Lytechinus pictus: one gene and its partners. The protein of the gene in region 1 interacts with the protein of each later gene in a biochemical or structural test. Links are inferred from orthologs where the notes say so. Each region holds a gene or a part of one and is shown in the gene's direction. Other genes may lie near its edges.

Evidence for each region.
Region 2: of the proteins of ubiquitin-conjugating enzyme E2 D1-like (region 1) and ubiquitin-like modifier-activating enzyme 1, one has a biochemical effect on the other in vitro, tested with the Homo sapiens proteins (8 studies listed by BioGRID, with this or other methods). The link is inferred for Lytechinus pictus from reciprocal best matches to the Homo sapiens genes UBE2D1 and UBA1.
Region 3: the proteins of ubiquitin-conjugating enzyme E2 D1-like (region 1) and E3 ubiquitin-protein ligase MARCHF5-like form a complex in vitro, tested with the Homo sapiens proteins (4 studies listed by BioGRID). The link is inferred for Lytechinus pictus from reciprocal best matches to the Homo sapiens genes UBE2D1 and MARCHF5.
Region 4: the proteins of ubiquitin-conjugating enzyme E2 D1-like (region 1) and anaphase-promoting complex subunit 11-like form a complex in vitro, tested with the Homo sapiens proteins (6 studies listed by BioGRID). The link is inferred for Lytechinus pictus from reciprocal best matches to the Homo sapiens genes UBE2D1 and ANAPC11.

The regions. Positions count from the first base shown.
Region 1 is NC_087262.1:4,912,997-4,920,136, reverse strand, and holds the start of ubiquitin-conjugating enzyme E2 D1-like, read left to right. Parts: upstream 1-4,114; 5' UTR 4,115-4,386; coding exon 4,387-4,410; intron 4,411-7,140.
Region 2 is NC_087247.1:36,375,542-36,382,403, reverse strand, and holds the start of ubiquitin-like modifier-activating enzyme 1, read left to right. Parts: upstream 1-3,837; 5' UTR 3,838-4,322; coding exon 4,323-4,331; intron 4,332-6,862. UniProt on the Homo sapiens protein: Catalyzes the first step in ubiquitin conjugation to mark cellular proteins for degradation through the ubiquitin-proteasome system.
Region 3 is NC_087256.1:23,777,551-23,785,306, forward strand, and holds the start of E3 ubiquitin-protein ligase MARCHF5-like, read left to right. Parts: upstream 1-4,737; 5' UTR 4,738-4,952; intron 4,953-7,756. Other genes in the region: negative elongation factor A-like, read right to left, coding at 159-371. UniProt on the Homo sapiens protein: Mitochondrial E3 ubiquitin-protein ligase that plays a crucial role in the control of mitochondrial morphology by acting as a positive regulator of mitochondrial fission and as an important regulator of immune response.
Region 4 is NC_087249.1:3,773,952-3,781,406, reverse strand, and holds the start of anaphase-promoting complex subunit 11-like, read left to right. Parts: upstream 1-4,433; 5' UTR 4,434-4,521; coding exon 4,522-4,562; intron 4,563-7,455. UniProt on the Homo sapiens protein: Together with the cullin protein ANAPC2, constitutes the catalytic component of the anaphase promoting complex/cyclosome (APC/C), a cell cycle-regulated E3 ubiquitin ligase that controls progression through mitosis and the G1 phase of the cell cycle.

The DNA.
Region 1 (7,140 bases):
TTTCCTTTTTACACATGCCAAATTGTTATTGCTAACCCCGGATAAGGAATGCTTGCTTTTCACACACGAAACTCGCTAACCCCGGACTAGTGGTTTTTGTCGATCATTCGTAGTACAAGTACTTCACTCGTACCTTTTTACACACGCTACAAGGGATGGTCCGGGCTGAAAGTATGTATAGCTTAATAAATAGAGCAGAATTCACTGAGCAAAATGCCGAAAATTTCATCAAAATCGGATAACAAATAATAAAGTTACTGAAGTTTAAAGTTTAAAGTTTAGCAATATTTTGTGAAAACAGTCGTCATGAATATTCATTAGGTGGGCTGATGATGTCACATCTCCACTTGTTCTTTTGTATTTTATTATATGAAATTAGGTTTATTCAATTTTTTTCCTCAAAGAACTAGAAAAATTGGATTGACAACTGATTTAGTGCATTAGATATATATTGCTGCAACTTAATTCATTATAAGGGAGACATATTATTCACACAAGTATTAAATATTGAAAAAATTATGATTTTATGTAATAACATAAGAAAACGGAAAGTGGAGATGTGACATCATCAGCCCACCTAATGAATATTCATGACGACTGTTTTCACAAAATATTGCTAAATTTTAAACTTCAATAACTTTATTATTTGTTATCCGATTTTGATGAAATTTTCGGCATTTTGCTCAGTGAATTCTACTCTATGTATTAAGATAAAAATATTTTCAGCCCGGACCATCCCTTTAACCCCGTACTATAGGTGGGGCCAAATTGCCATTTAACCAGTGGCGTAGCTACGGGGGGCCTGGGGGGGCACGTGCCCCCCTGAGATTTGGTGTGCCCCCCAGGTGCCCCCCCCCCCCCCCCCCAGAAAAAATTGGCAGAGCAAAAAAAAAAGGAAAGAAAAAAGGGAGAAGAAAAGAAAAAAAGGAAAAGAAAAAGGAAAAGAAGAAGAAAGACAGAAGAAAAAAAGAAGAAGAAAATAAGAGGAGGAAGACGAGTGAATGAAATAATGTAATTAAAAAACAAATCTTTTTATGTTACTATATAAAATTTTTACTGGCGCTTCGCGCCAGAATTGCCTGTTCGATGAGATTCATATCTTGCTCAATAGGCTGATATGGAGCAAGTTTTGAAGTCAATATGCAAAACATATTTTAGCTCGACATCGAGCTTTCATTATTTTTTTTTCATTTACAAATTTAAGTGCTCTGTAAAATGTCCGTTTTATGGTCTACATATATCAGCATTTTAAGCTCACGCTGCGTGGTCACATTGTTTGATTTGCGAAGTTCATATTGTCTACGTGTATTCCATAATGTTCCATGTAACAAATGTATTCAGAATGCCCAGATTCTAGGTCTACATCTACAACACGCGCGATAGCCTGCATGTTCTTTATTTAAAATGTACATGTACTTGAATTATCCAGTTTCACATCAGAATATCAATAATTGTCTGCTCACGCTTCACGATCGCATTATTAATGATACCCAATTGACTATATCCTATTTATGATTTACAAAATATGAATAGAATGTCCCGCTTTGAGGTCTAAAATCTCAATTTTCTTCCTCTCGCGCTTCGCGCTCGCATCAATTGTTTAGTTACATACCTATCCCATTTATTAATACAAAAAGTGCTTAGAATGACAATTTTTTAGGTCGGAATGTAAAAAAAAATTTGCTCGCGCTTCGCACTCGCATTATCGAAATATATACCGTCTTCGTGGGTAACTGTAAGCAGTCCGTAACAGGTCCCTTTTCGATAATGCTAGAACAGTTGATAAAAATTTATGTTCGCGCTTGGCGTTCGCAGTAGCCATCTAGTTACATACGAATCTTGTTCAGGATCACACATAACATTGCCCAGAAAATTAGATTAAAAATACATGAGAGTAAAAAAAAAATCGCTCGCGCTTCGCACTCGCACTTTTTATCAGGCTTATGAGATTATTTCATGTTTATGTTGTTTTATAAGAATAAAACTAAGAAGTGACTGATATAGGTGAAGATAATTTCGGGCCCCGTCCCCTATTGGCGAAAGTCGGATCCGCCCAAAGTTGTGACACATACACACACACACCGGAAAAATGGTCGGTGCCCCCCCTGAAAAAGCAAGGACCCCCAGTGCCCCCCCGGGAAAAAAATCCTAGCTACGCCACTGCATTTAGCCCCACCTATAGTACGGGGTTAAGCTTAGCCCACTTTCGTTTTACACTAGCGATCTTAACCCCGTACTATCGCTCTTAGCACCGCAATTGCTGGGATAACCCTGCTTTTTTGCAGGGCCAAATAATCCCGTACTAAAGGTGGGGTTAGCCCACTTTGCAAAAATGCTGTGTAAAAAGAAAGTGGGCTAAGCTTAACCCCGTACTATAGGTGGGGCTAAATGGCAATTTAGCCCCACCTATAGTACGGGGTTAAGGAAATTTTAGCGTGTGTAAAAAGGGTATATGATTATGCACCAAACTCGCACTCCTCGCACTTCAAGTTATCATTGTTTTATGTAGTGACATATGCTTTTTTCATGACTATATACTTAAAGTGATTTAAGGCCTTAATAAAACATTTCCAGTCTGTGCTTACGTTCGCATTGGTGTGGACCGATATAGATACCGGCCGGGCTGGTGTTAAATCACCGGCGTTTCTGCAGTGCACGAATTCCTAAAGACAGTCCTTAAAATGTCCCTTTTTCTGATCTAATTATAACAAATTTTCAGCTCGCGCTTCGCGCTCGCATTACTTAATTAGTGAAATAGTAAATTCCTACAAACAAGCCATAGAATGCCCCTCTTCAGGTCTGAATTTCAAAAATTGTCAGCTCGCGCTTCTCGCCCGCAATATTTCATTAGTGAAATACGTATCATGTTCATGATTACAATGACCACAAAAAGTGCTTCATGTGCCAGTGTAATTCTAACAAAATCAGCAAGCGCTTGGCGCTCGCATTAGATGACTATGATGAGATACGTACGCACTTCATAAATTCCAAAAGATAGTCCTGAAAATGTCCCTTTTTAGGGTTAAGTTATACAAAAAATTTCAGCTCGGGCTTCGCGCTCGCATTGTTTGTTTTGAAGACAGATACGTATCATGATTACAAAACTTTGCTTATAATGTCCCTTTTTAGGACTGAATACCAAACATTTTCAGCTCGAGCTTCGCGCTCGCATTATTTGATCACTAAGATACATATCCGTTTAATGGCACAGTCCTTAAAATGTCTCTATATCAGGTCAGTATACCTGGCAATTGAGCGCGCTACGCGCGCCCACTTAATGACTCTAAATTTTTGCTGGTGCCCCCCCCCCCCCCCCATGCCGTGACCCACGGTACGCCACTGTTAGCAGTAGCATTCTTGAAATTTTAGTTGAGACATCTTGCACAGAAGGTCAATCAAAAATTAATAAATCTTTGATTTTGATATTATTAATGCATAGGGTATATCATTATATACTGCAAGTTAGCAACTACGGCACACTAGCCTTTCTATTTTGATCCAAAATGTTTATTTTTAAAGTGCAAATATCTTTGTATATCTTTGTATATAATTTACCTTAAAGTATTCACCAAATGCCACTAATTCAATTCTAAAAATTCAAAATCTTTTAGCAATTGATTATTGTAGGGGGGGCACATCCCCCATCAGACTCCCCCTGTGCTCACGTTGGCGCTGTCATGCCAAATTTAGTTGGCAAATTTAGCTGGTACACCCCCCCCCCCCCCCAACAAAATGCTTCTGGCTACGGCCCTGCAATTCAGGCCTACATTAATTATTTTATCGGGCTATCTGATTTTGATGCAATTCTATAATTATAATGCCTGTTTGGTTATGTTTCCTCGGTTTATTCATGCAATTCAAATTGTTTAAGGCTGCCTGAAATTAACCTCTTTTCTAAGAATACGAGAAATCCGATTATCATCTCTTCCCAATGCTGTGAAATTAACTTCGTTAGAGATGATTCACTTTTCTTGTTACGTTACGCAACTATAGTTACTACAGCAAATCACATGTTGTGTTCAAGCGAATGAGGGCTCTGTGATGTAAGTTCTTTCCGTATTGCCTGTATTTGGCAATATGATCATGACGTCGTACGCGCTGTTCGCCAGCTATCACTTCAACAAGTGTAGCTCGCACGCCCGTTTCTTTTGCCCTCAAGGTCGCGCGCGTGCGTGAATGGTAATTTCGTCGTACCGTACCGTACCGTAGATTCGATTGCAATGCAGTTTGCAGAAGATGCACGTAAAATACGCAAACTACAACAAATAGACAACGAAAAGGCTAATGAGTAACGATTCCATGATCAAGTTCCACTAGATTCTGGGCATTTGGTGCCTTTGTTTACGTTATTTACAATCTTTAGAACCTGTTTACTGTATAGTCGCAATGGCATTAAAAAGAATAGCAAAGGTGAGTTAGAATTTACAATCACAATTCACACTTTTTGTTTTGGACTTTTTTTTTCTGGACGTGCAGTTGCAGTGCATGGAATGGATCATGAATGTTTGTGTGTGAATCAGGATGTTCAGAATATGTTCTGCACTGCAGATGCAGTGTAGATCTATTCCAAACATGAATTAGACAAGGCCCTGTGTCTATAACTTACGTTTAGTAATATAATGTGTATCACTATCATGTGTATAATCCAACTCCAAGGGAGAGTGAGTAAAACTAAAAAGAGACGAGATCTAAAATTTAGTAAAAAGTAAAATCCCTAGTCGTAGACCACTCATCATGCTCATTCAACAATGAACAAACAAGGTTAATAATAATATGAATTATGATTAGACTCAGCTCAGCAGGCGATGGTTCATGATCATGTATGATGGTGGGCCCCAAGTCTGCGCACCTAACAATTTGAGTTAAGATTTAACATGAATTTCCTTTTTATTTCACAAAATCTTTGGTTAATAGTGTTCCTTATATTATTAAGAGTAAGTGTACCAAATTTCTCATTAAAAAATGAAAGAAAATATAAGATTTTCTTGAAAAAACCTCGGGCAGTCATTTTCAGATTGAAAAAAAAAAATGGTACCCCATGTCTGCGCACTCATTCACTTTGCACACGATTCGGGGATTTTGATGACAAAGGCTGCATTTTGAGGCCGTCACATGAAATGCCCTGAATTCATTATTTTTCAACCATTTTGAGTCGGATTTTTTTATGAATACCTGTCTATGTATTGCATGTGTAAAGATCGTGCTCGTTGCGTATCTTCTTTTACTAGAATCGCGCAGATACGCGGGTGCGCAGACTTGGGAGACCGCGCAGACATGGGGGAACTGACCATACTATAATGTAGGCTCCACAACACTGCACTACCGCTACACCTAACCGAACCCTCGGGCCACAAATACTCGCTCTCAAAAACTAGTAACAAACTGTCACTTTTTGCTAAGACTTTAATTTTAAGAGAAGCAACACGTCATTTTAAAAAAAAGTCTAAGGCTAAGCGTACTCTACTACGTGACTAAAGTTTAAACATAATTTGCGCACATTTTAAGAATTATGAAGTTGATTTTCAATCAACAGTTCACACAAAATTAATCAAAATCATAAAGTTCTACCAGTTGGAAGGCAAGATCCCAAAGTCAAATTCGCTTGACGGAATTATAAAGTAGGTCAAGGGTTTCGCTCGTATTGCGATCTCAAAATTCCATGGCGATCGACTAGTGCGCGCTTGGATGAAAAAGTGTCATAAAAAATTGTGACCTTAATTTGCGCACGATCGTTTTGCAAAGCTTTGGAAAATAAATCAAGCAGACAAAGGTAAGATAATTAGGGGAGATTGGGGTTAGTTGGAATATTTTTGACAAAAATGGCTGTAAAGTCCAAAGAGATTTTATTCAAGAAACAATATATCAGCTTTAAACATAGAGGCTACAAATGTACCCATAAAATTCTTTAAAGGGATGGTCCGGGCTGAAAGTATTTATAGCTGAATAAATAGAGTAGAATTCACTCAGCATAATGCCGAAAATTTCATCAAAATTGGATAACAAATAACAAAGTTATTGAATTTTAAAGTTTAGCAATATTTTGTGAAAACAGTTGTCATGAATATTCATTAGGTGGGCTGATGATGTCACATCCCCTTTTGTTCTTTTGTATTTTATTATATGAAATTATGTTTATTCAAATTTTTTTCTCCAAGAACTAGAAAAATTGGATTGACAGCTGATTTGGTGGATTAGATATTTATTGCTGCAACTTATTTCATTATAAGGGAGACATATTATTCACACAAGTATGAAATAATGAAAAAAAATGATTTTATGTAATGACATAAGAAAACAGAAAGTGAGGATGTGACATCATCAGCCCACCTAATGAATATTCATGACAACTTTTTTTACAAAATATTGCTAAACTTTAAACTTCAATAACTTTATTATTTGTTATCCGATTTTGATGAAATTTTCAGCATTTTTCTCAGTGAATTCTACTCTATGTATTAAGATATAAATATTTTCAGCCTGGACCATCCCTTTAACTCTATGAATGGTTACTGAAAAAATCCACCTTGAACAAGACCATCGCAAGTGTTCCAACTTACCCCCATATAAGGGGTAATTAAAGTTGGACCACTGCATGGTCAATTAAGAATTATACTAAAACTACTACCCGGTACATGTACATGATGTTACATGTAGCTTATTTGCTTATTTTTCATGTTCAAAATATTAAAAGTATTTATTCTGATTTGTTGAACTTGATGTTTTCTATTACACATATACAGCCACTCACACAAGCCGACTGTGTATTAAAATTGTGCATATTATTTTGTGTGCGTTTGATTTTACAAGCATTTAAGTGTATCAGCAATTTCATGTACTTTTGCACCAAATTTACATAACATTAATCAGATAATTATTTATACAATTTAGTTTTTGTCTCACCTGCATAGCAGAGTGAGACTATAGGCGCCGCTTTTCCGACGGCGGCGGCGGCGGCGACGGCGACGGCGGCGGCGACGGCGGCGGCGGCGTCAACACCAAATCTTAACCTTAGGTTAAGTTTTTGAAATGACAGCATAACTTAGAAAGTATATGGACCTAGTTCATGAAACTTGGCCATAAGGTTAATCAAGTATTACTGAACATCCTGCCTGAGTTTCATGTCACATGACCAAGGTCAAA
Region 2 (6,862 bases), on another chromosome or scaffold:
CTGAAGGGTTAGAGTGCCAAATTAATAGGGGTTGAATAACATGTAGCGATAAAAATGCTCCCTTCTCTCAGTATTAAAAAAATAATATCTCATTGAAATTAAACGTGGAATAATTTCCCCCTCAATAGCTCTGAATTGCATTTGTGATTGAGTGATAAAAAGGAAAAAATAAAACCCAGATAGGTTTGAATTTGTTGTGGTCCTGACCTAACTCTTGAAATCATTGCAACAGATTTTTTTAGATGAATACTTTGTAGCTAAACATGGATTTGTTCTAATGTATTTGCCCCATACTTAGCTCCTCACCTGTTCCCTGTTGCATAAAGGTTACTATTATGGCAACTTTTGCATTCAATGGTAACTTCCATCATTCCATGGAATCCTTGATTCTGATTTGCTGTTGAGCATCGTTGCCATGGTAGTTACAATTGGATGGCAAAGTTTTCATGATACTAACTTTTATGCAATGGGGCCCTGATGGTATATCAACAACTTTAGATGAGCCAATTTTATTTAAAAGAAATATGACCTGGGGTGTTTCACAATGACTTAGAATCACACTTAAAATGCCTAGTTGCGTGTGTTAGAAAAGGCATGACCGCATTGGTTAGATCATGCCAAGAGGACACGCCCTATACTGTCTATATTAATCAATAAGATTTGATTTTGATTTATTCTATTTAAACACGGTAAAAAGCCCTCGATCAGCCAATGGCTGGTTTTCAGAGAGGCCGTGCAATACACAAACAATATAAGAAAAACAAATCAATAAAAATAAGTAAAACTAAAACCTATATACAAAACCAAAGAGGGAGGATGAAAGAAAACAGAAAAACAAAATCAAAACAGAAAAAACAAGAACACAATTGTAAAAAAAAAGGATTATCAAGATTTCAGGACTTTTTCAATTTCAGATTCAAATAAATTTAGATTTGGTAAAGTGCGAATACGTTCTGTCAAGTATGGCAAGATATAGGCTGCTATTTCGTGCAAAGTCTGTTTTGGGTGTTTTAAGGTTTATTATATTGTTTGAGTTACGGAGTGTGAGGGTAGAATGTTGCTTAAGACTAATCCTATTACATATAAAATGCGGTAAAGCTTATTGAGTAACATAAATATTAATACAAGTGCTTGTTTTTTCCATCTAAGGACGATTGGTTCAGCATTCAATTTGGTGTATAATGCTGATGTGCTAAACAAGGAATCAACTTTTAGCACAATTCGAAGGGCCCTATTCTGCATCACAATATAAGACGATTGATTTTGGTTTTCCCTGCATTTCTCCAAATATTATGAACAATCATCAAAGTGGGGTAGAATAAGACATTTGTACAATGACATAGCAGTATCTTGAGATATATATGGTCTCACGCGTTTTAAACAGTATAGACTTGAAGTAATTTTGCATTTCATTTTATCAATTTGGTCATTCCACGTTATATAATATTCATTTAGTACCACACCGAGATATTTACATTTGTGCATATTACGTTTTATAGGAAAGTTGATTTAACTTGATCTGAAGATTGCGCTTTGCATATCATAATAATATGTGTCGGTATATAACTGCGACTATAAGTCATACGTATATACACCTTTGTGAAACACCCCAGGTGCTCTTAGATGGTGCAGTTGGCTGTTAAACCATCCAGGTCCAAAGTGGTTATAATATGAATACTGCTATGGTATGTCAGGCAAGCGCATAGAGACAACTGTAACCCAATTAGCCACACCTCAAAGTATTGAAAGGATCGAGGACAGCCCCCCCCCCCCCTGCTACCGGCAAGATGTCTTCTAAAAATAAGATGTGGTTTGGGTCAAGTGCACTGTCTTACCAAGAGACTCGTGCTCTAGCTAACTTTCCTGGGAGAGAGGACTTCTCAGGAACGTTCTTGTGGGAATCTTACATTTGGAACTGTCTGCTTTGGAAAGGAATTCACAACTTGCCATTGAATATATACTGCAAAGGTTTTGTAACACAGCAAACTCTTGTGGATTGAGAGAGGCGCGTTAGGTATCTAAGTAGTGAAAGCAGTGACCCAGGCAATGGAAAAAGATTATCTTATACCGAGGTTTTTTACCTGACTGCTAAATAAGCACGAATGCCTGTGAACAAGCAACCAGGGGACCAACGGCTTAAGGTCCTCTCCGAGGGACCTGGTAATGAGGATAAATGCCTTACCAAAGGGCACTAGCGCACCACTTGGGAATCGAACCCGGGTCACCGGAATCCGAAACCCCCGCTACACTCAGTTTGGTGATGCAACAACTCCTGTCCACCTCCCCCCCCCCCCCCATCCCTACGCCTTGAAGATACTCTACTAGATAGCGTATCAATTAAAAAAAAAACACTTTGAAAAAGTCCTGCCAATTCTAAAATTTACAAAAATAATGGGAGTAACTTTTTGACATATATTCTTGAGCTAGACCTATTCTGTCAGATTCCAGTATGATGATTGCCCAAATATATATTTTTTATACTTGAAATGAAATATCGTATAATTCAAACAATGAGTGAGCGAGCCGCATCATCGTCTGTCTATATAGGTCACTGAAATGTGATCAATATAAGCGAAACTATAAAATATTATATCTTTCTTATTTTACATCCGATTTTGATGAAATTTTCAGTGTGCTGCTATAGATTTTTCTCTATTTGGCTTCAAATAAAAATTTTCTGGGGTGGACTTGACTTTTAATAAAACAAATCCGTACTTGTTCATTCATGACGTCAAGTTAATGAAGGGGGAAATGAATTTCTGTATTTCTTTTATTTTTTAGGCCTGTCAGGAATTTATGTATGTTTGGCCCCTCTCGATGATGTTTCTTTTACCCCCTTTTACCACAACCGCAGGCGGACGCGGCGCCTCCGCATTTGCTTCGGACTGATAGCATTTGTCTATTAAAAGACCATGACATCAGCATTAACCTCCCCTTCAAATTAAATTCCTTTGAGCGTTTACTCATCAACGCTCAGGGGAAAGGATAGTCATATCATGTAAGTACATGTTTAACAATTGATAGCTTATTGGCCTTTATAGTTATCTCTTTTTTAATGTTCCTAGAGTATTCAAACATTTGCTTGGTCCCTATATTGATTCCGAAAAAAGATTATATCTTCGAGGCCGAATGATAATCCAGTGATGAGTTGGACCCAAGACTATAGCTGTAGATCATATCATGGGGTTCAACCATAATACTGAAAAAACAACAACAACATAGTCGGCGCTGATGAAATTCCCATATCTTATATTCTAAACCGGGACTATAAATGATACTAAATATAGGCCTCATTTATAGGCAGGCCTACTATCATTAATTCAATCGTTCCAGTGATCCCATTCTTCATCTTTTAACGTAGTACATGACATAATTATCTGTATACGAGATACGCGTAGGCCTCTACGCAAAAATATGTGTCTTCCGTATATCACTGGCAATATATTTGGGGTCTATCTCACTCCATATACTACCAAACCAAATAGATATACTGTCTTGTACACGTCGTTTAGCCTCGCTACCGAACGTTGGTCGGTCAAATTGAGAAGAAAACTCTCAGAAATGCAATTTTACCAATTGTTCTTGTCTACATACTTATCAACTTTTTAAATCAAGAGATAATTTGATTGTAATTCGAGCAAGTCCTAGACTGCATTTGGGTTGCTTTGGTAAGTATACTACATGTATGATAATTTTGTACAATACTAAAAATGTTGCAAGCCACATTTCCCTGCAGCTGGTCACGTGAGCTTGCGCCGGGTTATAATTATAACCGGTGAACAATGCACTATCCGAGAAATTGTCGCTGAGGTTGAGAGGTATGACTTTGTCTCTTTCGTTATGATTTTCGAGTAGAATATGCAATATTGGTCAGAACATTCTACAGAAAGTACTATATAGACATCATAGAATGCACATTAGCAATAACACATTATTTTTACCACTGAATCTAGCGTTATTTCTTATATGAATTACCATAACCACGTGTGATATCGCGACAAGCCGACATTCACCGACTAACGTTAGACTTCGTTCATTGCTTGATTTCGTGTACGGTGTAGAAATACTTGCTATGTCACTCAGCTCATAATGATAGTGTGTCATGCATACAGTGTGTGTATGTGTGTGAATGAAGCAGAGCTGTGTGTTGCGTGATCCGTGGATATCGATGAAAAAGTGAATTTAGTCCAACTCCGAGTCCGACCTATTCCTAACTTAAGCTATCACAGATGGTCTGAGTTTAAGACATTCTCGTATCTGTCAACATGTTAAATTGGCGAGATCAATAACAATTTCTACAAACACTCAAAAAAAAATTTGAAATGAAAATGGTACGTACAAGGGAAAAAATATTACTTTAGTTTAACTTTAAGTTAGTCTTTATTACCACTTTATTACCTTTATTACCGGATCTACTGGAAAAATGCAATTACTTTATGCTCTCTAAAATTATTACATTGATTGAAAACTATCAATAACATTGTGTAGTTTGAGGTCCATAATATATGATAATCCATTTTACAAAGACGATCTTGTCACTCGTACATAAGAAAAAAAGGTTGCTTTCTTGAAAATATCGAGTTTCGCAGGATCTGACTTCCGGGTTTTATTTTCTCTTATCATTGCTATAACAATAACATCAATTTTCTGTCTTTCCGAGCATGATTTCGAGTGCGAAAAGGTCTTTTGATGCTGAAAATATGAAACGGGTGAGCAAAATTGTATGTGTTTTTAAATTGATTTTTCGTTTGCATAATTTATGAATATTATCAATTTTTGTTCGGCCTTTATTTATCTTTTATTTCTCAGGCGACGTTTTCTTAAAGCCGACATGAATAAAGGAAGGTTTTTTTCTTTGGGCGATGGTAATTTTCTTCAAAAGTGTGTCACATATCGTTCTGAAAGTTTAAACGCAAGGCGATGTCAGACCAATGAGTCATAATTTTTCTTGAATTTGAGTGAGAATGAACTGGCATAAATAATGACCCTTTTGAAAATTTTGTTTGATATGAATAACGATACGTACCTCTAATGAATAACAAAAGTCGCATTCAACTTGTGGGTGAAATGAATGGCCCGAATTGGTCGAATGGATCAAGCTCTGTGTGTCTCTAGTGCAGTGGTCATCGGTAGAACATGTATAAGAGCTGGGGAATCTGCACGTGGCGTATGTGCCTGGTGTGCAATTACAATTCATGTGCAATCATCGTGTGAAGCCTAAGGAGACAAAGGGGGTTCGTAAGCCCCCTCTTCAAATATTTTTTTATACAGCAAATGGGTTACATCAGGGACGGAAGGGGTATTTCTCTTTCCAAATATAGTATCTTGACACCAGAAGGTGTATCCAGGATTTTACAAAGGGGGGGGGGGCACATTTTCCAGAGGAAAAATTTGACAAGCAAAAAAAATAAAGTCTTCACTTTCGAAGGGGGGGCACACTTCACACTTGTGTTTTTTCGGCATTTTTATATTACAAATTTTATTTGTGCCTCTCAAGGGGGGGGGGGGGGGGGCACGGCTGACTGTGCCCCCTGGATCTGCCATTGCTTGACACCAGAGGTTAGTTACAAGTTATAACCCCTCCCCTTTTAAATGTTTCATTTTAATGCTTGCAAGTAAAATATTTTCATGCCCCACTTAAAACTTTGGGAAGCCTGCAGCATGCCTCCTGTACATGACCAGTGGAGGATCCAAGGGGGGGGGCACATCCACCCACCCCTTGAGAGCCATTATCAAAATTTAAATGTAAAATGCTGCTTTTACATGTGTGCCCCCCTTTGAAAGTCACAGCATAATATTTTTAATAGGAATATTTTCAATATTTTTTGCTTTTCAAATTTTACCTGGACGAAATTATATGCATTTTTAGGTAAAAAAATTTTATTTTTGCTTGTCAAATTTTTCATCCAAAAAGGAAAATGTGCCCTCCCCTTGCACCTTGCACTTGCACATTCAGCCACTCTCGTGATCACATGACACACGCACACACAGCATATACACATATCATTCAGCATTGCTGGAGTCATAGAGGTACATGTATGGTGCAACTTGCAAATTAGTGTTGGGAGTAGTGAGAGCCAAAAACATTATCTCATGAATAAATTAGCATAAATATGCTCACCCCCCATTTCTCCTCCAAAGATCATGATATGGCAACAAAAATTTACAAGATGGTAGAAAAATGACATTAACTACTTGATTGTAGAGGTCAGGCCTGAGATTCTCCCGATATTTTTTCACCAACATAGGTGGTCTCTGAGATCGATGTAAATCTGGTATGAAATGAAGGGGGGTTAGGGTGTCTATTTTCAATGCCTTATTCGCAAAAATTGCTAGAAAATGAAGGGCACATTGCGCCCAAATTCACACAAAGTTATAAGTTCTGGCAACTTGCTGTCGTTACTTTTTATGAAAATTGCAGTCATGCATTCGAAAACTTGATTCTTCGACGGCTATTTGAAGTTTGATGTTGTTTGAAGTTTATCGCACACGGTCGGTATTGATCATGGGCGCTGCCATTTTGTATTACCGTACCCACCAGACCGTCGTGCGTTACAGTGGGGGAAACAGCGTGTACTCGGTGCGCGCGCGATGGCTGCATTCAATTCATGCAGGCGCTAGGATAACCCAGGGAACTTCGGCCCTTGAAACGGGCGGGAGCTCCCTGGGTTATCGCGCTAGGCGTGATTACGGTGATTTGTCAATACGGGAGTTCTTTCGTGCGAGCGAAAAAACTAGAAAAGTTTGTGAAAAATTATGGCTTTTCAACGGAAATTTCTTGATTGAGGTGAAGAGGCGAGGGTGAAAGGGATCGACACTTCAGTTCGTGAGAAATGGACTTGGAAGTGGGTTGAAAAATCAG
Region 3 (7,756 bases), on another chromosome or scaffold:
TACCAGTGTTAAACTTATTATTGAAAAAAAATGCAATGACTTTGGTATTCATATTTAAGACATATTCCTTTAAAGGCTTTATTCTGACAGCTCTCTGTATCAGCTAACTCACTCATCCTGCATACAAACTTGTGAATAGATGGGACCACAATACTCACCTCTTCCACTTTTCGAAGAGGCATATGGAGAATTGCCATCAAGAGTTTGAGTTTTACAGTCGGGTGTAGAGTCTGAAAGCAATCATGTGTGTTTCTAAGAACATCTTGGTGAAGTTGAGTGCTAATACTTGTAATTCCAGACCAAAGATCATCATTATCACCGAGTTTATTGTGAAGCCAAAGGCTGGTGTCGCTGTCGCGAACAGTCGCCATATTGCGCTTATAAACACAAACTTTTCATGGTGGGCCGGGCCATACAGCGCGACCATTAAGAAAAAGAGTAAAGTAATCAGACCAAACATGAAGGGAAAATTATGTACCCTGTCTACAAAAGGACAAACCAAAATCATGAAATTATAAGACTATTTGTAAGGTATCACAGCACGTATACCTAAGGATGGGATCGATATCCCGCTATTCATCCTCTTAAAAAAATAATTGAAAAAAGGAAAAAGGAAGGAGAGGAGAAAAGAAAGAAATAAAGAAGGGGGGCAGGCGCGGTTCTAGACTATTAAAAGATTGGGGGGGGGGGGAGGGGTGGCTTCAGGGGGCTTGAGAATTTTTTGTACATTGGTTTATTCAATACAATGAAAATGGCCCATTGTGGGGTAGCCTTATACTGTCCCAGCAGCTAGTCCCTCTCCCCCTTTAAAAAATACATTATTAATATTATGCAAGGGAGCGTAGTGACAGAGCGAAAAAAATCACAGTCTCAAAATGCTTGAGAATTGTTTATATATAACATACATCAGGGCCTGATGGGTGTTATATATGTAAATGAGGGCATTTAACGATAAGGGGGGGGGGGTACTTAGGACTGGTTATCAGGAAATGGATTTGTTTAGAGACTTTGAACGTACTAGTATAACAGTATACGACAGCTAGAGGCATAGGCCCGGGGGGGGGGCACTCAGTATATAATGCATAGTGGGTATGTGCCTCGGAGGGGACCCCCATTTTTACACTCAAATTTCCGTTCCAAGGCATAGCATTTTAGTCTTATTGAGGAAAAGAACACAGAAAGCCGCTCCAAAGCATAGCATTTTCTCCTTATAGAGAAAAAAGAAGAAAGAAATCCGCTCCAAAGCGCTCCAAAGCGCTCCAAAGCTTCGCATATTTTTGTTACGCCGTTCCGGTCGTATTGATCTGCTACAATGAGCTGCAATTTTGGTGAAAAGCGGCCGCAGAGCTCTGTCCGACCATCGCCTCTGCGCGAGCGCACCCGTCGGAGGCCGCGCTAGCTGCATCATGCACGCATATCATGCCCGTTCCATAGGGATGCATACGCACTCACGTACACGCTGGCGATCCGTTCCAAGGATCCCCCTTTTGACAAACATTTGTAGTTCCGAAGCCTGTTCCGAGGACCCTCCTTTTTACAACAAGCCCGCTCCAAGGCCCCCGTTTTTTGTCTCGCCCGCGGCACACCCCTACCTCTTTTTTGGTCGAGTGCCCCCCCCCCCCCCGGGGCATAGGCGGATCCAGGGGGCCGGGGTCGAGGCCCCCCCCCCCCCCATATTGGCGTAGCAAAAATAAGAGGAAAAAAGGCAAAAGAGAGGAGAAAAAAAGTAGAGGAAAAAAAAAGGAGGAAGACGAGTGAATGAAATAAGGAGAAGACTTGGGGGAAAAAATGTATGTCACTATATCAAATTTTCGCTCGCGCTTCGCGCTCGCATTGCATGATCGATGAAATACATATCTTGCTCAATATTGAGCTGAAAATATCAAGTTTTGAAGTCAATATACAAAACATAAATCAGTTTGGACGTCGATCATTCATTATTTCGGTTGATTTACAAATTGTTTTTCAAAATTAGTGCTCTGCAAAATGTCTGTTTTATTGTCTGGGCATCAACATTTTCAGCTCGCGCTGCGCGCTCGCATTAGTTGATTTGTCAAGTACCTATATTCTCTTCGTGTATTCCATAAAGTTCTCAAAATATCCTTTTTCAGGTTTGATTGTCAAAACCTATGCAGCTAGCGCTGCGCGTTCGCATTTTCATTGGTGAGTATAATGTATACCCCTGTAGTAATTCTATAACAAACTATACTTAAAATCCATGTTTCATGACAGTAAATTTTTATCAACGATTTCATGATAAAAATGCGTTAAGAATGCCCAGAATCTTAAACACGCGCGTGCATGCTTTAAGGGATGGTCCAGGCTGGAAGCCTCAATAAAATAGAGTAAAATTCACAAAGTAATATAATAAAATACAAAAGAAATAGTGAGTGGATGACGTCATCAGTCTCCTCATTTGCATACCGACCAGGATGTGCGGCGTATAACTGTTTTGTGAAAACAGCAAAACTTTAAAATGTCATAACTTTCTTATTTTACATCCGATTTTGATGAAATTTTCAGTGTTATGCTTAATGTGTTTTTTTCTCTTATTATTCAAATCAACTTTTTGATAGGGTGAACTTGTCCTTTAAACCTAGCATATGGAGCACTTTATGAACTTGCAAATAAAAGTACATCTTCTACATCGTTAAATTACTGAATGGGATACTCAACATATATAGGCTGCAAAAAAATACAACCCAATCATCACTGCCCTGCATTTTGTAATGGATCCCCCCCTTTTTTTTTTGCTTGTCAAATTTCACCACCCCTGTAAAAAAAAATCCTTCCCAGGACCCTGCAGCCAAATGTGATTGAAGTATCAATATTTGGAGAACAAGATCAACCAAATGTAGGCCTATTCTCAACTTTCAAAGCATGAATAACTGTTTTGTGAAATTAAGCAAAACTTGAAAATGTCGTAACTTTCTTATTTTACATCCGTTTTTGCTGAAATGTTTAGTGTTATGCTTGGTTGGATTTTTCTCTTATTATTTAAATCAACTTTTTGTAGGGGTGGACTTGTCCTCTATTAATCAATTAATTTACATTTTAACACCTCCTCCCCTTATAGGCCTATTTCAGAAAAACTACAACTTATAATAGGCTTATTTAAATTCCGACTAGATTTAGAGGCGTCGCACAGTGGGCCAGAATGAGTTGAAAGTGCGCCAAAATTATATTCCGTGTTATATTTTTACTTTAACATGTTGATTGAGGGTAATTTTGGGCGTAGAATCGACTGAACATAATTTAAAGCCGATATGACGTCACTTTGATACCAAATTTTGATTGGCTACTTAAAATCTATCTGCGAAAAGACAAATTACGCTAAACAATGTGCAGTATATAATCTTTGTGTTATGTGTTACTTTAAGATTGACCAGAGTGAGCGGTGGTTTATGCTTCTCATATGCCTAAAAAGTGCGTAAGAGATTCTGAAAATAATTTGATGGCATCAAAATGATCATTAGATAAAAAAATACTTAAAAATCTGAAAAATATTAACCGTGCTTTATCAAGCGGCGTAGACTTGGGTAAAACGCAGAGTATATAACACCACGAATGAATAACTATGAGGAGGGTTTTGGGCTGAAATTATTCTACAAGTAACTTTTATCTCTGGAAGAGGGGCGGGTAGCCCTAATTTGCGTTATCAACCTTTATTTTGTTTGCATTAAGCCTGGAATTCATGTCATTTTCAAGGAATGGAAGGGGAATCGTCCTCGCCGTGCAAAAATGAAAGGAAATGTATACACCCCACACGGTGCGCAGCGATGACTGCGCGGTATGAAAATGACCGTTTTTGAACAGGTTTTGGGGGTGTTGTGTCAAGTAAAATCGGCTGTAACATGAAAACGGGCAAAAACGGGCAGCTAAATTTGGTATCATCTTAAAGCTTAGACATCTAGCAAAATGATGATGATAGAATTTAAACGGAAATCCACGGAAATCTAAACTTTTCTAATGTAAATAAAAAAAACATGGATTATCAGCCTTTTACAAGGAATAATTATCCTATAAACCTTCTGAAATGTGTCATTTATCTAATTTAAACCCTTTCACACGAAAAAAGAATATATCAGGATTATGTGGGTGCCATTTCAGATTCCTACATGAAAAACCTCCTGTGAAATGGCTTGTTTTTCAACTAAGTAGTCATATACGCGGCATTTCGCAAAATGTCACATTTTAAGATTTGAGGTAGGAAATTAACAACCTTTATGCAAATTCCCGAATGAAATATTTTGCTGAAGTTAAAGCTTATTGCGGCATACAATATTGTTCTACCAAGAATGTATTTCTATTTATTTTCTAGTTATTTTCTAATCTACTTGGATTTGCTCTTCTCAGATTCAATGCTTATAACGCAATTAAAAACAGTTTTCAGTTCAGGAGCATATTCCAGTGTGACACTTGATCAATTTGATGTTTTATTATGAGTTAGAGAGATTTATAGATTTTTTACTACGTTTCCGCTCCGTGCTGACCGGTCAGTGATTGCATCTTTGAAAGGGCAGGGCAAGCGTATTTGGTGAAGATTTGTTTATATGCCATTTTGACAAGAGTTACGACAAACTTTTGTATATACTATAATTATCTTTTTCATATTAGAAAGATGCACAATAAAAATATTTCATATATGTATACATCATATTGGTAATAATATCATTATGTGAGAAGTGAGATTTTATAGATAGAGTCAATGGCGACAATAGTCAAATATGACTAATCGCCACCCAAACCAACATAAGAAGAAGACAAAAGCTCGCTACTTTCACCTCATAGGTACTAGGTCGCGCGTTATTGGTCGCCAGAGCTCGAGCAGTGTATAAAGGTACACTCCACAACTACAAGTGCAGGAGCACCGCCGCCGACCTCCACCTTGCCTTCCGATTATTAATATTCTAAATGGTTGATTGTAGCCCTGCCCTGTAACACGAAAAGTTGTAAGTTCTCTATAAACATTTTCGAGTCGTTGTCTCGTTGTGGTGTGCGTCATTTTTGTTAGGCTTTAAAGCCAAGCCCAAGCCAAGGCAATTATTAGCAATCGAATTAGACGGCATTGAGTGTAGGCACATTTCCTTAATCGGCGCGTGCGATTCTCATGCACACATGTCGCATTAGGCGGATCACAATTTCGTGATTCGGTTTAGATCTAACGTTAGATACTGCACGGAGCGAAATCGCCGGTCATCTCTTTCAGTTTCTCTCTTATTTATAAATGTTCTACTTATTTAGCGATTGTGCAAGGGTCCACACCAACTGACCAAATTTTTACCCCATTAAAAAAAAAATTGTGGCAGTTTTAAAGTGAGTTTTCATTTAATTTATTGCATGGTTTGTTGAAATTGTTGTGTGACGAAATAGATTTTCTAACTTAGTAGGCCCTAATTAGAACGGCCTTTTCCTGAAATAAGTCACCTCTCTTCTTGTGTGTGTCAGTGTGTGTGCGCTCGTTGTGTACAAAGTCAATGGGAGATGAAAGAAGTCACTGCCATTGACGAAATGAACGGCAATGAATGGAGTGGTGACTTAAACCAGGATAATGCCTTGGCTTTAACTAGTTAGAAATAAGTTGGTCTTGGATGGTCCGGTGTCAGTAACCATTCTGGACTCTGGAGATGCATTGACATTCATGACATTGTCAATGATTGAGACAAGTCTAAAAATAATTTGCTAACTTGTTCAGTAGAGGCGCACGGCCAATATGGGAGACTCTCCAATATGGGAGACAATCTCCCATATTAGAGACTTGCTTTGCAAAAGAACAAAAGAAACACCAACAAAAGCATAATTTTTTCCACCCAAAATTTTGTCTCGCTGAGGTCAGAAACCCATTTGTTTTGTGTGTGGATGACAACAAAAATCCTTATCAAAACAAAAGTAGACGGTGAATTTTTAAAATAGACGGTGAAAAGGGGTAATTTTTCATGAGGAATCTGCTTATCACATTTTTATTTGCCGCCAAGGTAATCCTTTTGCAGCAAATGTGAACAAAGGAAATTGGTCTCCTAAACTGGAGACTGTCTCTGAAATTGGATACCCAAATTCTTCACAAAAGTCTCTGATATTGGAGATAATCTCTCTCATGGGAGACAGTCTCCCATATTGGCTGTGCGCCTGTACTGCTTGTTGTGGTTCAAAGAGTACTCGTGCAAAATAAAGAAAGGGATGCCAAACAATTTTAAAGATAAGAATGCCACATCATTTAGTAGATGTAGATCTACATCTACAATGCAAGCAAAAGGAAGTAGGAGGGAAGAATAAATGAAGAACAAAACGAGGAGGAGGAGGAGGAGAAGAAGGGTGAAGAAGAAGAAGGGAGAAGAGGAAGAAGGGTGAAAAAGAAAAAGGGAGAAGAAGAAAAAAAGGACATGAAGGAAAACAAGGAAGAAGAGAAAGAAGAAGAGGAAGAGAGAAGAAGGGGGGTGTCTTTCTATGGTGCTTTTGAGGAAGATCAATAATACCCTTTTTACACAGGATTTTCTTAACCCCGGACTATCGCTAACCCCGTACTATCCTTAACCCCGTACTATTTTTTTTTCCTTTTCACACATGCCAAATTGTTATCGCTAACCCCGGATAAGGAATGCTTGCTTTTCACACACGAAACTCGCTAACCCCGGACTAGTGGTTTTTGTCGATCATTCGTAGTACAAGTACTTCACTCGTACCTTTTTACACACGCTAAAATTTCCTTAACCCCGTAATATAGGTGGGGCTAAATTGCCATTTAGCCCCACCTATAGTACGGGGTTAAGCTTAGCCCACTTTCGTTTTACACTAGCGATCTTAACCCCGTACTATCGCTCTTAGCACCGCAATTGCTGGGATAACCCTGCTTTTTTGCAGGGCCAAATAATCCCGTACTAAAGGTGGGGTTAGCCCACTTTGCAAAAATGCTGTGTAAAAAGAAAGTGGGCTAAGCTTAACCCCGTACTATAGGTGGGGCTAAATGGCAATTTAGCCCCACCTATAGTACGGGGTTAAGGAAATTTTAGCGTGTGTAAAAAGGGTATAAGAACACTCAATGAGTTAATGCAACTGTTGTAACTTTGCCATTATGGCAACTACCATGGAAACCTTGATTCTGATTGGCTGCTGATCCCTGTTACAACAATTGCAAGTCTTTTATGAAACGGGTCCCAGAAGCACACTCAATGAGTTAATGCAATGAGCCAGATACTTTGTCAGTGCATAAAATATCCTTATATTTGGCACACTTGAACCCCCCCCCCCTCACTCAACTTACAAGTTACCATAAAAATAGCACTTGGTCACCTATTTTCAATTTTTTTTAAAAACAAAAGTATTATTCAGACCAGGTGATTCAGGCTATTGGACAATTTCTTTAAACTAATTTCTCTTTAACCATTCAATTGAAACACAGAATGAATACTTATAAATTGGGCAGGGGGCATGTCTGTGCACCTAACTATTTAATTTAAGATTTAACATGAATTTCTTTTTATTTCATAAAAAAATTCAGTTGATAATGTTTTTTATATTTTCATGAGTAAGTGTGCCAAAAAGCTATTAAAAATTGGAAAGAAATGTATGATTTTCTTGGAAAAAAACCTTGGCCAGTCATTTTCAGATTGAACCAAAAAATGTTGGTTGCCTCCGACGAAGATTCTGCTAGGATCGAAAGCTTAGGCCCCTTTTTGACTTTCCAAAAAATGTTTCACGCACCCATTCACTTTACACACGATTCAGGCATTTTGATGATAAAGGCTGCATTTTGAGGCTG
Region 4 (7,455 bases), on another chromosome or scaffold:
GGTTTTTAAAAAGAATAAACTGTACTACAAATTATGGTGAAGCCAATTTAAAAGGAGGTGAGGCAAGCCTCAATGGAGGTATTTAAAAAGAATAAACTGTATTATGGTGAAGCCAATTTAAAAGGAGGTGAGGCAAGTTTTAATGGAGGTTTTTAAAAAGAATAAACTGTATTATGGTGAAGCCAGTTTAAAAGGAGGTGAGGCAAGTTTCAATGGAGGTTTTTAAAAAAGAATAAACTGTACTACAAATTTAAAAGGAGGCGACGCAAGTTGATCAATAGAGGTTTTTAAAAAGAATAAACTGTATTACAAATTATGGTGAAGCCAATTTAAAAGGAGGTGAGGTAATTAGTTAATGGAGGTTTTTAAAAAGAATAAACTGTATTACAAGTTATGGTGAAGGCAATTTGAGAGGAGGTGAGGCATGTCTACAATGATTTTTTTTAAAGAATGATAAGTGTAGAATATAATTCAAATGATGAAGCCATCTTGAGAGGTGCATGAGGCAAGTCTTCAATGAGGTTTCTAAAAACAATGAATAGTGAAGAGAAAGATCGCAATTGCTTTTAATAATCCACAAAATTGTGTAGTTATTTATTTCATGCAAATTGCTATTAATTGATTATGCTCATTTGTGCATAATTAGTATACTATACCTATTCCTCTAACTCCCTAAATAAAGCTCCAAATGTTCTAATTTTTGGTTTAGAAACTCTTTGTGGTGTTCTTCGATAATGTATTTCTTGTGTTTTTACCTTTGTATTGCATTGTTTTTTTTCAACGATGCTCGATCGGACTCTCGTAACAGATAAAATAAATCAGTTTAGTTCAACAAAACTAAAAACAATTAGGCATTCATGAATTTTGGTTGAAAACGCATATTCCATTGACGTGGTACACAAATATCACAATTTTGAGCCATTTTTGTCTGATATGCACTTACAAATTGTTTGGTAATTTTCAGAACCCAGTACCCGGGCTTCGCAAAACTGGTCTCAAAACATGCAAAAGACTTTTTTTTTAAATCGCAGAGCTCAGAGCCCCCCCCCCCCCCTGCGTAAATAGGTTAAGTTTGCATTAATTTTGAACTTTTCCATTCCCAAATACGTAATATCCCCTCCCCAAAAATGCAATTGTCACTGAAATGGAATATACATAATATATTTTTTAATAAGCCATATTTGCAAAATAATCATCATGTCATCCTTTGTCAACAAGAAATCTGTACATGTCCTCTGGAAGAAAATAATACCTCGGCCGCCTATTAAATTCTAAGTTTTTATTTTGTAAGTATTTTACTTAGCAATTTGGCTTGCTTATCAAAATGCTTAAACTTGTATGCAGATCAGATCTCAGAATTTACCTTATCCAAATTGAACTAAATACTAATACCCATTGTGATGTTATAAATTTTGAGCCAAATAGTGCCAAATGTGTGAATGTATTTCTGTGCGTATCATTTTTGTATATGTAGACTTAAGTCTAGTAGATGGCTGACTTACATTTAAGCAAAATATTTAGCCCAAAAAAAATGCAATTGAATACCAAAGATGGATAAGTATTTTACTTTTGCAAAATACTGAGTAAAATATACTTGAAATTGTGGCTTTAAGAGTAGCATTGAAAACCGGCCCTGTTCCTCATCATCATTATCATCCCACTACCACACCAGTTTCTGCAGCACAAACTTTAACTTTCATAGGTTGAGTCCATTTCAAAGCCAACACTCTCACTTTAACTTTTTTCTCTTATAACATGACGTCCACACACTGCCAATCACATCCTTACAACACCAACTGTCAGAGGACAACAGAACTGCAGTTACCATAGCATTACCCCCAAAACACCACTCAATTTTGAATTGATCCAAGTGAAATATGACTGTGTTGCACAAAAAAAAGCAATGTAGTCATAGTAGATTTTATTGACTTGTACATTCATAAGGCTATGCATATATTTTGAGTAATTGTTGTGTTGTCTTCAGTGATAGTTGGTCCCACTGTGCTTATGGCCAACTTTGGTAAAGGCATACATTGAATAAACTTTTATGTACTGAAAATGATGACAGAATATATGCTAAAAAAATAACATTACAAATGCATGACAGGTAATACAACATATTTCAACATGAACTATTTCACAATTTGCCAACATGACAATAAAAACTAACCTTAAAAAATAGTAGAAGCTGATGTTGGATGGAAAAGAATATTTTTGTCATACAGCTTGAAAGACATTACATATGTATGCCTCACCTCCTTTTAAATTGGCTTCACCATAATTTGTAGTACAGTTAATTATTTTTTTAAAACCTCCATTGAAACTTGCCTCACCTCCTTTTAAATTGGCTTCACCATAATACAGTTTATTCTTTTTAAATACCTCCATTGAGGCTTGCCTCACCTCCTTTTAAATTGGCTTCACCATAATTTGTAGTACAGTTTATTCTTTTTAAAAACCTCCATTGAAACTTGCCTCACCTCCTTTCAAATTTGTAGTACAGTCTATTCTTTTTTAAAAACCTCCATTGAAACTTGCCTCACCTCCTTTTAAATTGGCTTCACCATAATTTGTAGTACAGTTTATTCTTTTTTTAAAACCTCCATTGAAACTTGCCTCACCTCCTTTTGAATTGGCTTCACCATAATTTGTAGTACAGTTTATTCTTTTTTAAAAACCTAGCTCCATTGAAACTTGCCTCGCCTCCTTTTAAATTTGTAGTACAGTTTATTCTTTTTAAAAACCTCAATTGAAACTTGCCTCACCTCCTTTTAAATTGGCTTCACCATAATTTGTAGTACAGTTTATTCTTTTTTTAAAACCTCCATTGAAACTTGCCTCACCTCCTTTTGAATTGGCTTCACCATAATTTGTAGTACAGTTTATTCTTTTTTAAAAACCTCCATTGAAACTTGCCTCGCCTCCTTTTAAATTTGTAGTACAGTTTATTCTTTTTAAAAACCTCAATTGAAACTTGCCTCACCTCCTTTTAAATTGGCTTCACCATATAATTTGTAGTACAGTTTATTCTTTTTAAAAACCTCCATTGAAACTTGCCTCACCTCCTTTTGAATTGGCTTCACCATAATACAGTTTATTCTTTTTAAAAACCTCCATTAAAACTTGCCTCACCTCCTTTTAAATTGGCTTCACCATAATACAGTTTATTCTTTTTAAAAACCTCCATTGAAACTTGCCTCACCTCCTCTTAAATTGGCTTCACCATAATACAGTTTATTCTTTTTAAAAACTTCCATTAAAACTTGCCTCACCTCCTTTTAAATTGGCTTCACCATAATTTGTAGTGCAGTTTATTCTTTTTTTAAAACCTCCATTGAAACTTGCCTCACCTCCTTTTGAATTGGCTTCACCATAATTTGTAGTACAGTTTATTCTTTTTTAAAAACCTCCATTGAAACTTGCCTCGCCTCCTTTTAAATTTGTAGTACAGTTTATTCTTTTTAAAAACCTCAATTGAAACTTGCCTCACCTCCTTTTAAATTGGCTTCACCATAATTTGTAGTACAGTTTATTCTTTTTAAAAACCTCCATTGAAACTTGCCTCACCTCCTTTTAAATTGGCTTCACCATAATACAGTTTATTCTTTTTAAAAACCTCCATTAAAACTTGCCTCACCTCCTTTTAAATTGGCTTCACCATATAATACAGTTTATTCTTTTTTAAAACCTCCATTGAAACTTGTCTCACCTCCTTTTAAATTGGCTTCACCATAATATTCAGGTAAGGTATATTCATTCTTTTTTTTAAAAACATATCATTGTTCACTTCCCTCACCTAGATCATTTGGCTATATATAATACCTTTTATTCTACACTATTCTTCCCTTTAAAAAACCTGATTGTACTCCTGCCTCCCCTGATCTGACATTTGCCTCTCAACGTACTGGAAATAGATACCCTTTTTTCAATATTTTTGTGTTTTTGACACCCTTATCACGTTACGTACGTAACGTGCCCTCTCTTGAAAAAGACATCCTTTTTACGTGTTTTTTTTGGTCGCGCATGGTATCCACTCGTCAATGTAAGTGGCCCCCCGGGCGTACTGTACATAGTGTTATTTTATTATCTCTTTATATCGGAAACTTCGTTTTACCGAATTGCCATGCACTCTCTCCGACGCGTTTGAAGTCTTAGACAGCATGGCATACTACCAGCCGATGGTACACACACGCACACACACACACGTTATTTGACAACTTGTCTCTGGAGCCAAAGTTCCTCGCATATAACTATCTGCATGCCTGCACGCAGTGTGTATTGAACACGCACGACCACGATCTAATGAATATTCATCGGCGAGACTGACGTCATTTTACGAGTCTCCTTTCAAACTTGGATCATAAGTGCCTACCAATTTTCAAACGGATCACGAGCGAAGGTTCCGCCGATAGCTAGCTAGCCGCGCCGACTTCCAGCGCGCAGCGATCGATCGCAAGTGTACCGGTACCTGGGATTGCTCAAGACAGGGAGTCAAATCCGTTCTTAACGTTAAAGACAAAGATGAAAGTCAAGGTGAAAAGTAAGTTACATCACAAGCCATGGTATCCCGTAAGAATAGTCTGACTGAGCCGCATAAAGCTAGCCTACCCTCGGCTCAATTCAAGTCTAAATCGTCATGTCTCATGATGACCGTGTGTCCAGTTCGCCGGTTTGCAGCATACACCACCCGTTCGCTCGCCCGTTGTTGTCGATGTCGGGCTGCTTCGGCATGGAAGTCTGTAGCGTAGGGCTAGGCCTCTGCCACGTAACGGCCTCAATCAACTCAGCGGAGCGCGCCATTGAAACTAGCCTAGGCCTTCTCCTCTCGCCAAGCAATCTTGTAAGCAACACTTGTAAGCATCGCTTTGCTCCCTCTCCAAAATGTCTGCGATATTAAAATCCTTAAAAAAATGCTAAAAACAATGGAATCGTCATTATCGTTGAAATTTAGTAAGGCTAAGTATGAGTGATTATGACTGAGTATGAATATGACTTAGACAGCTGGCAGCCGTCTGTTTCGAGGAGTTTTTTAACATTTTTTTATTTTTTAAATTTCTCCTCATACACAGATGGCTCGCTATCGTGCAGCCACCATTAGGGGACTTACAATGCAAAATCCCCCCGTCGGGGCTCTTCAATTTTTGTCTTTAATGAATCAAACTTTTGAAAATTAACGCGACCGAAATGCAAATTAACATTCCCTCTTGGCATTAATTGCGAAAAAACGGGGAAAATCAAGTTAAAAGGAACAAAAACAGTGACTTACCTCGGCTGTCGCGCAACTTCACTGCCCTGTTTTATCCATACTTAAGGACGTTCCACAGTTAAAGTGAAATCCATGTCATTTTCACCAAACTTTGCACATAGATACTTTAGAACCTTACTATTCGAAATGTGCAAAATACAACATAGGTCCATGTGCTTGATTTTTTGCTATAGAGCTTCAAAGTTCACCCAAATTGATGTTCTTAAGAATTGCGCATTCGAAAGAATTTGGCATTTTTAGACCGCCCAAGATTACTACAATGAGTTTAAACCTCTATTACTCAGTCAAAATACATGAAAAAGTCATCAAATTTCGCAAGAGAGTTAATAATTGTATCGTTAGAATGGATAATCTATTTATAGTGCTATTTGTTTGCAATTTTAAGTTTAACAGCACTGTCAGTTCTTAAAAATGGGGTAAAAGATAACAAAATCCCAATCTAAAAAATGTGAAATTTTTAGTAACAAACTACAAAAGTACAATAAATGCTGCACTTTATTCAAAATCCATGTCATTTTCACCAGAATTTGCAGAGTTGTAGAGGAAGGTATACCTAAGAGGTACAAACATTAAAAAATAGGGGTTCATGTGCTTGTTTTTAAACTATCAGCATTTTTATTAGAGCAAATGTGCTTTTTAAAACACCAAAAATGCGCCGAATGCTTTGTATCTATGTGAAGAAAAAATCAAAACCACTATACCATTCATTCAAACTCGGTTTAATATTCGTGATTCTTGGCAGCACTGCAGAGTAAAGTATTTTGAAATTGTAGAGAATTTGTTTTTGAATGGTCCATGGAATAATTTCAGTTTTTAGCTTCATGAAATAATGCATCGGATCTGCAGTTAAAGTGCAGAAGATGAGAAAAATCAGCTCATACCCGCAGCTAATTAATCACCTGTTCATCCATTGTGACGTCAGCGCGCAGAGTGTAAACTATGCGCAGATCATAATGCGCACAAACATAACTGTGGAACGTCCTTAACACACATAAACATATGGCCATTGAGTCCCCTGTACAGATCGCGCTAGAACTTCGGTCTCTGTATTTGGTGAGTGAAGCCAACGGAGTTCAGCTGAACAACCAACATAACACTAGAGACCGAAGCTTTTGGTCTAGAATATGACTATGAGTCTGAATATGAATCATAAATGTTTATCATTTACATTACAAACACTTTTCATGAATTCAATCATATCAAACACATTATTCTCATAAAATTCACCAAACTTTCACCATAAATACACAATTACCTACAAAATATAAACATGTAAAAATTTTGCCGAAATCGTTTTTCCCTTTTACGATATTACTATTAGTATTAGCTTCCAATCGAACCCCTCTACACATTAATTTTTTGGTCACTTGAAAAAGGTATCGTATTACCGAAAATGTGTTTTTTCTATGGAAAAAGTTGAGAAAACAACAAAATCACTGATCATGCTGATGAGCTACTTTGAGTTTGACCATATTTTATTATTTTTAGAATATTAAGAGTGAAAAAAGTGTTTTTTACCATTTTTTATCATTTCTATTCAAGTTTCCTTTGGAAGGATGTAGCAAAGTTTGAGCGTATGAAATTATTTTCTGACGCGTACGATGCGCGCGTTCGGTAATACAAGGTCAAGGCCGGTCGGTAATGCAATCACCCACTATACCGAGTTTACAAGCAAATGTGGGAAAGACTTCGAATTATCAGTCATTTTGATGAGTGATACAAACTTCCCAAAATATATTAGCAGAAATTTGATATAAGCCTAACTTTGCAAAATCCTTATTTTTTAATATTTACTTAAATTTTAATACATTGAAAAAGCACTGTAGTACATTTGCTAGAATTTTCCCTAACCATGCTAACTGATAACGTTGGTGGATTTTTTTTCCTAGTTTTTTTAAAGAAATGGCAGGCATTTGAAATCCGGTAAATTTTTGTTATATTTGTAAAAAAAATCATTAGATTCAAATAACTTACTAATTGTTCGCCCGAAGAATGGTTATTTTGTCATATTGTTGTGTAAATAATACATAACAATAAGTCTAAGTAGGAGTGTAGCAATCCTAGTTGAGTAACCTTTTCCGCGATCCCATACTGGTGTCCGGTGGTATATTCCACATATCTTCTCCCCTTGCAATTGACCATTGTTCAGTTTTAGTGTTTAATTTTGACACTTGAACTGTGAAATTGAT